Coturnix japonica: one gene and its partner. The protein of the gene in region 1 interacts with the protein of each later gene in a biochemical or structural test. Links are inferred from orthologs where the notes say so. Each region holds a gene or a part of one and is shown in the gene's direction. Other genes may lie near its edges.

Region 1 (3,590 bases):
CAGGGCAGGCACTGGGCACAGGGCTGTGACCTTGCTGCTCCATCCTGCCCTTGACCGCTCAGTTAATCCGCAGCTGGATTAGCTCAGGCACGCTAACAATCCGTGTGGGCTCCCAGCTGGAATTAAGGTGGCTTTGCTGCAGTTAATTCAGGATGGAATTTGTTCTGTTTCAGGGCTCTGCCCACACCTGCGTCCCACGGCCCTGCATGAGCAGCCCTGGCTCTGTGCTGCCCTGGAAGTGGTGTGTGGAGCTCTGACCCCATTCCCACAGGTGCCCGTCCTCCCTCTCCTCTGCACTTATGATCCCATCCCCCAGCCTCCATCCACGCAGCTATCTGGATAAAAGCACTGAAAACTCTTCCTTGCTCTGTCTGAGAAGCCATCAGCAGTGAAGGACCATGAAGCACCGTCCTGTTCTAGGCAGCACCAAGAAGCATTTCCCAGTAGGGCAGGGATGCTGATCCTCCCTTCCTGCTTGTGAACTAATGGCAGACTTCCTGGCTCACTCCTGAAGAGAAAATAGAGGAGAAGGATGATGGTGCAGTTGGGTTTGCAACCAAAATCAGTTTTATGCTTCTCCCCTTTTTTTCCACCAGAATAAAAGCTGAAACAGACCAAAGCCATTATAGTGAGTTACAAGAAGCACAAGGTCAGCTTATTACTCTGCTCTGGAAAATAACCTTGCTGTTCATCAGTATGATGTGACTGTGGCTTGCACAAAATGGTCTTGGAAACACCTATGCAAGATGTGCTGAACACAACAGCACTGCAGTTCTGATGTGGGACATCACTGTGCCTGACAGGAACATGATCTGGTGTGGGACGGGCAGTGGTAGAAGGGAACTGGGCTGACCTTGAGCCGTTCTGCTTCCCAAACCAGAGCCCAGCCTTTACCAAACCTCCTGGTGACCAAACACCTTTCCATGCCCATTCTTTTTCTGGGTTCTGGAATGAACCTGACCCATGGCTTTGTAATTTTGTGCAGTTATCGAGTTGGAAATGAACTGCAGTCAGAGCTTGGGAGCTGGAGCAGCCAAGGGGCTGAACCTGCACATATCAAACCATTCAACACCTTTTATACTTTCCAGATACTTTTCTATGTTCCTGCTTTTTCCTCCCCCCCCACCCCTCCCATCCTGCATTATATGCATGTTTCTGCCTTCTGTAGATAGCTTTGCATTATCAAAGGGCAATGGGAGAAAAGAAGAAATTGTCGCTGCATTTAGCATTGATTTTTCCCCCTTCACTCTGAGTCACATAAGCTAACATTTAATTAATTTCTGACACTTTGACAGTTTTTAAGAAGACATTTGTAGAGCTATCAAGTGCCGCTGATAGCACTGTCAGACAGACACTTTTTGAATTATCAGCTATTAAGGACCCATATGCAACAAATTTTCAGGGTTTATTATACAAATTGTTCTCTGAATGAAGAAAGCGCACAAAAGCTCAGTGAAACATAAGGAAACCATTGTTCCCAAGTGAATTTGATATTTGCAAATGTTTTGCTATTTTGATCACTTACGTGATTCTATAAATCTAATTCGCTTTGTCTTTTAGTGAGGAAATTAAATGGCCTTTTTAAGGGTCTGTTGAGAACGTGGCTGGATTTTCAAATCACGCTGGTCTTTATGGAGGTGCAGCTTGGCAAAAATGAAACAGGTGATCTCAGGAAGCGCTGAGAAGTGAAACAAGGTCCATTTCTAAACTGAAACTCCTAAACAAATAGTCAGAACTTCCAGCTGCCTTTAAACAGCTCTTGCCTTTATTCTTTGACTGCACCCTCTGACATGTCCCCCCTTTTCTTCATGTAATGACTGCTACTGATAGTCCAGACTGCAGAAATCTGGGGGAATTAACCCAAAATGGAAATGAACTTCCCAAATCCTTGCCCAGGTATCTGACTATCAGCTCAAGCAGTGCTCTGGATGTCCGTAGCACTACCATTCAGCAGCCATCTGCACATGGGAATTCAGGAGCAAGGCCGCGTGCGCATGGTCATTTTGGTTTTATTTTACATGTCAATATTTGTCTGTTTTTCCAACATCTTTGTGCAGAGTGGAGCTGGGACCTGGCAAGCTCATCTTCATGGATCCCCTAAACCTTTCCTGGTACAACAGTGACACTGGGGACAGGAACTGGAGCAAGCCGCTCAACGAGTCCAGTGCAGACCAGAAGCCTCAGTATAACTACTATGCTGTGCTGCTCACCCTCCTCATCTTTGTCATTGTGTTTGGCAATGTGTTGGTCTGCATGGCTGTGTCCAGGGAGAAAGCCCTGCAGACCACCACCAATTACCTGATCGTCAGCCTGGCAGTGGCGGATCTCCTGGTGGCCACACTGGTCATGCCCTGGGTGGTCTATCTGGAGGTAGGTGACCAGCTTTTCCTCCCAGTACTGAATGGTTCTGGTAAAGGAGTTCCGAGGGGGAAGGTTTAGCAAATTGGACGTCAGCTATTTCCAGACCTCCAGAATTTCCCCAGAAGTGTTTTTAGGGAGAATGTATCCTTGGAAAGAGTAGTCAGGCATTGGATCAGGCTGCCCAGGGAAGTGGTGGAGTCACCATCACTGGAGGTGTTTGAAGAAATGGTAGATGTAGTGTGGAGGGATGTGGTCAGTGGGTAGTATTGGTGGTAGGTTGGACGAGATGATGTTAGAGGTCTTTTCCAACCTTAATAATTCTAAGATTCTTTGTTTTAAATTTTGTAATAGTCGAGTTATTAAATGAACAGACATGATAGCAGATGACAGGTTCACTTGAAAACATGCTATTGTTCAGAAGGCTGAATTACCACCCAATAGCATTGAAATTTTGGCCTATAAATCCAGGGATCAAGAGTGAAAGATCTCAAGTTTGTTTTCAAGACCGCACCAACAATCTGTACATTCCCAAGCACAAGAATGAGCCTAAAACAACATCATGAGGGTCACAGTAAAACTGCACAGAGCAGTAATCAGAAACCTATTCCTGAAGGACTGCAGTAGTAAGAAGAGCAAGCAGTTGTAGAAGTAGGTTGTAAATCCAGAGCTTTTATGTCACAATATATAAGAGAAACAGACTCCCAAGTGAGCTACTTGTCACATTACTGCCGTTAGCATGTCTCTTCGGTACAAAAGAGCTCTATGCTTCTGCAGCACCGAGCCATACTTGAGTGGCACATTGTTTTAAGAAAGCCAAATACTCCAAAATACTGCTTACCCGGCAGCGAAGGGCTCTTGCAACAGTAAACAGCACAAAAGAATGAAATAAGCCTCTAGAGGAAAGAGTGGAGCAGCAGAAGCTGTTCTTCCCCCTGTCCTTGGCTGGGATGGCTGCATTCCTCAAACAGCCAAGAGCTGGGATGCTGGCGACCGACAGAGAAAGCATAAGACTGGAACTACACCAAATTTGCAATTCATTTTCAGGCATTTCATTAGGAGAGGAAATGATAAAACAGAGGCAAGCAATGGAAGAAGCCATAATCAATCAGCTCGTTAAGTATTAATGCAAGGCAAAACAAACCCGCTGATGTGACACGGGCTGTCGAGAAGCCACAATACTAATTATCACTCCAGTTAATTATTGTTTGTGTGGCACTTTAAAAATGTAA
Region 2 (4,327 bases), on another chromosome or scaffold:
CCGTGCTTTCCACGTCTGCAGTTCCGTTTCTTTGGGAGCTGAGCCTGCAGGCTCCGCTGCTGCGCCCGTTTACCCGATGACCTGATTTGTTTTCCTCCTCCTCGCCGTGTTCCGTCTAAAACCACGCTATCTACAATGAACTCAAACAGCAGCAGCCCACGCTGGAGAGCTGCTGGGGTCCGTGTCACCGCTCTTGGCTGATTCCCGAGCCCTGTAGGGTCCTGTTGGTGCTGCCCCCAACCCCATCTCCTTGTGCTCAGGAGCCGTAGCACTGCAGCAGTGAGGGCAGGTTGGGATGGGACGGGCTCAGTGCGCTGCCCGCTGCGGTTCTTACACCAGGAAATTGAACTCATTCCGCTGGAATTTTTTTTCCCCCTCCCTCTCAAAGCAGCAGCTGTTTGGGGGGTTGGCTGTGCCAGTTCAACCCTGAGCTGCTGCCTCTGCTTTCCTTCGGCTTTTCTTCTGCCTGACTCAGGATCGTTAAGCATTAACCTTAAAATAGCCGCTCTTTTTGCAGCCGATACAATTAATCTCGTGTGTGTGTGCTCCTTCCTCCCCCACGCTTTGAGCCCTCCCCGCTGCTGCCCTGTTCCTGGGGCACAAGGAAGCCCAAAAGGAACAGATCGCTCTGTCCCAGCCCTGCACGGCTCTGCCCACCCGCAGCTCCCGCTGTGTTGGTTTTGGGGCTGCATTCTGCTGCCTCCCAGCAACTGCCACCGGTGCTGTTATTTAAGCAATGGCAAGGTTCAAGCTAATAATTAGAGAAAGTGGATGGCTCGCACAGTTCCCAATTACTTTTCTCCTCTCCTCGGTGAGATCTGAGCTCTCTATTCAGTTCTCTCGGTGATGGAGGCAGGGGAGAGTTTTAAATAGAATTAAATCCCTTTCGCATCGCAGAGCTCGTGCTGAAATGCCTGATCTATGCGGGGCCGGTTGGGACTGTGGCTTGTTCTCTGGTTGCTCTGCACATACACACAGACACACACACAGCAACACAGCCCTGCTGCAACACGGTCACAGCTCGGCGCAAAGGAGAGCATTGCAAAGATGGGCGTTTTGCTGGAAGGAAGGGGATGCACGGGGCCTTTTGCAAGCAGGAGGGTCTTTGTCCCCCAAAAGCCTGCAGCCCCGCAGACAGGTTTAACCGTATCCAAGCAGAGATATGTGCTTTCTTCCTCCTGGCTGTTGTTATAGGAGCACGGCGTGTCCGGGCAGCTCCTGCGGGGCCTGCGTTGCAACACGGGCTGGAATTGAGCCGCGTTTATCGTGTGCATCACGCTGCGTTGGGGGGCATCCAGCCCTGCCTGGGTTTGAGGTGGGGAAAACGGCTTCTGGTGCCACGGCCCGGCTGGGTGCATCGCTCACTGCACGATGAATGAAGGCTCGTAGCGGGGATCCCGGCGTGAGAGCGGGGAGCCGGCACCGGGGGGAGGGAGGAGGGAGGAGGGGGCCATTGTGCATCCGGGTGCGTCCCCCCAAGGTCACTCCCACCCCGCAGCTCCCTCTGCGCTCACACCGCCGCCTCTCTCCCTCCGCATCCTCCGGCCCTTGGCGAGCATCCCCCCCTCCCACCTCCGCCCTACAAGAGCCCGCTCCCTCCTCCTTCTCTCCCATTGAGCTCCGGCGGCGTCGGGCCGAGAGCTGCGGGCCCCCCCTCCCGCACCCCAACCCTCGGAGGGAGGGGAGGGAGCGCGGAGGGAGCGCGGAGAGGGGCGGGAGCGGCCGCGCGGAGGCGCAGAGCGGCCCCGCATCTCCGCAGCCCCGAAGCCCGGCAACAAAGAGCGCAGCGCTCCGCTCCTCCCCGGGATGTAGGGCCCTCCGTGCCCCGCTCCCGGCCCCGCAGCCCTCCATGCCCCCGAGCTGAGCCCGTTCCGCATCGCCATGGGGAAATCCAACAGCAAGTTGAAGCCTGAAGTTGTGGAGGAGCTGACCAGGAAAACGTACTGTGAGTGCATAGCGGGGGCTGACCGCGGTGTGAACGGGGGGGGGGAGGAGGGTTGGGAAGGGGGGAGAGGATTTGGGGCTGGAGGGGGCGATGGGGGGAGCGGCGGTTGCGCCCCGCGGATGCTCGCGGGGTTGCGGGTACCGCGGTGGGGTCGGCCCCTCCCGCAGCGCGCAGACTCAGCCCCGGCTTTGTTGGGAGAAGGAGGAGGGAGAAAACATGGAGCGGGGCAGGCAGGCAGGCAGGGCAGCGCGGGGCTCCCCGCACACGCTGCACTCCGCCGCCTATTGCTCAGCATCCGACACCGCGGCACCGGGGCCGCATCCTTCTCCCCCCTCCCCCGGCTGCCGTACCCCGACCCCCCCCGGCCCCACTCCGCAGCCCCGGACGCTCCGACCCCTTTGGGGCAGCGCTGCCCCCGCGGCTCCCGAAGTTCGGTGCCGTTCCTGTGTCGTTTCGCTCCGTGCCCCGCTCTACGGGTCTCTGCTTTAACTCCCCGAGCCGGCTCCTTTCCCCTCGGATCCTCCGCTGTCCCCTCACTCTCGCGGCCGATGCCCGAACCATCCGCTTTGAGCCAAACCTCCTTTATTTTGCTCCGTTCTGAAGGATGCGCGGAGGAAACAAAGGCTCCGCTGCTCCCAATTCCCCTCCCCGTTCACCCCCCTTTGCTTTAAGCTCACAACCGGCTCCGTGCCCCGCCAGACCTGCAAGCGTTCCCGCTGTCATTGCTGCAGTCCCACGGCAGCGCTTACCCAAAAAGGCAATAGATGAGGATGCAGCGTGTTCTCCCATACGGAGAGGAGGCATCGCTGGTGCATTGCACACCCCCGCACTCGGGGCTGCTCCTTGTCACCGTGCAGAGGGAGGGGGGCACAGCCCCGGAGCTCAGCTCGGCTCTGAGCAGTGATGCTGCATTGGGCATTTTGCACCACTCCGTGCTGGGAAGGTGCTGCCCTATAGGGCACATGGGCTGCAGGACCTGCTGGCACCCGTTGTAGTGAATGCACGTCCTCTCTGCTGGATGAGGCCGGCACAGGGTTGTGGCCTTGTGGCTCCAACTTTGTGCCCCTCCTGGGTGCCCTCCCCAAAGCCCCCCGTCCTCATTGCACCCAGGTTGTGTGTGTCTGCTCTGTGCCTCCCCATCAGGACAGCACATGGCTGTGCCCCCCCAGCAGTGCACGGTGCCCATCGACTGCAGCCATCCCTAATGCTGGGCTCAGTTTGTTGAGCTCATTCCACTGCTCGTGTCTGAATTACTTTTGCTGAGTGCTTCTGGCCCTGGACAGGTGTTGGCAGGGAGCTGATGGTGGAGAGATACCTTCATCCCAGGGATGTGCCCATGATGTTGAGAGCTGTGGTTGCACTATGGGCAGCATTTCTCCCACGGTGTGATTTCCTTCTGTTGCATCATTTTCTGTTTGCTTGAGCTGTGCTGACCCAGGTGCCCATAGTGCTATGGGGGGAACCAGAGAAGGCTCAACCCACCTGGCAGCCCAGGTCCCATCCACGAGAGGGGCCAACACAGAATAATAATGAATAATAAATTCTGTAATTCTTTGTGCTTCCACAGAGCCTTTCATCTGAAAGCTCTTGGAGTGCTTCATTGTCATGGTGGTGGTGGCTCATGGAGTGTTGGGTGCTGCACTGAGTGTCCCAGGAGGTGCTGGTGGGGCTCCAGGAGCTGCCATCCCAGCAGGGTTTTGGGTTATGGTTGTTCTGCTCACAGTGTGGGGTTGGGGTTGGGATTTGGGAATGTTGGGAGTTGAATTTGTTTGGTTGAGATCAAAAGGTTCTGCCGTGAAGATCTTGGGATGCAGGAAAGGTTGTGTCCAAGTCTTGAATGCAGGTGGATGACAGATGATGGGCTCAGGTTGTGAAGGTTCAGGCTGAAGGTAAAGGCTTCCCCAGCCTTAATGGTTCTCTGGTGCAAAGCACTTGTGTGCAGTTGTAGTTGCTTCCATGGGACTGAAACACTCGTGTTGGGGTCCTTTGGACCTTAACCCCAACCGTGTCCCACTCCCTGCTCTCTCTTTAGTGAACTTTCAGCTCACTTTGGGACTTTCTGCTCTTCTACAATGAACCACAAAATTGGCTCCGCTGCGTGCCAGTAATGCCTTGAATTAATGGCCATTAGATTCAGAGCAACCTACAAACAGATCGATTTGGAGTTACGGGGGACGCAGCGGCTGGCTCAGTTCTGTGGGGAAAAGAGTGAAAATGCTCCAGTTTTCAGGCTGAGCTCCTCACTGCCCTGCCCTGACTCTGCCCTGCCAAGTGTTGGGGTGTCAGCCCCATCCCCTGCCCCGTGTCCATGGGAGGACAGTGGCTGGTGGCACTTTGGGCCTCGCTGCGACTGCACTGGGAGCATCACATTTCACAGATCCC

Evidence for each region. The genes of interacting proteins can lie anywhere in the genome.
Region 2: the proteins of DRD2 (region 1) and NCS1 form a complex in vitro, tested with the Homo sapiens proteins (2 studies listed by BioGRID, with this or other methods). The link is inferred for Coturnix japonica from reciprocal best matches to the Homo sapiens genes DRD2 and NCS1.

What each region holds. Positions count from the first base shown.
Region 1 is NC_029539.1:4,993,048-4,996,637, forward strand, and holds part of DRD2 (D(2) dopamine receptor), read left to right. Parts: intron 1-2,057; 5' UTR 2,058-2,088; coding exon 2,089-2,370; intron 2,371-3,590. UniProt on the Homo sapiens protein: Dopamine receptor whose activity is mediated by G proteins which inhibit adenylyl cyclase. Positively regulates postnatal regression of retinal hyaloid vessels via suppression of VEGFR2/KDR activity, downstream of OPN5.
Region 2 is NC_029532.1:4,462,471-4,466,797, forward strand, and holds the start of NCS1 (neuronal calcium sensor 1), read left to right. Parts: upstream 1-1,474; 5' UTR 1,475-1,881; coding exon 1,882-1,945; intron 1,946-4,327. UniProt on the Homo sapiens protein: Neuronal calcium sensor, regulator of G protein-coupled receptor phosphorylation in a calcium dependent manner. Directly regulates GRK1 (RHOK), but not GRK2 to GRK5. Can substitute for calmodulin. Stimulates PI4KB kinase activity.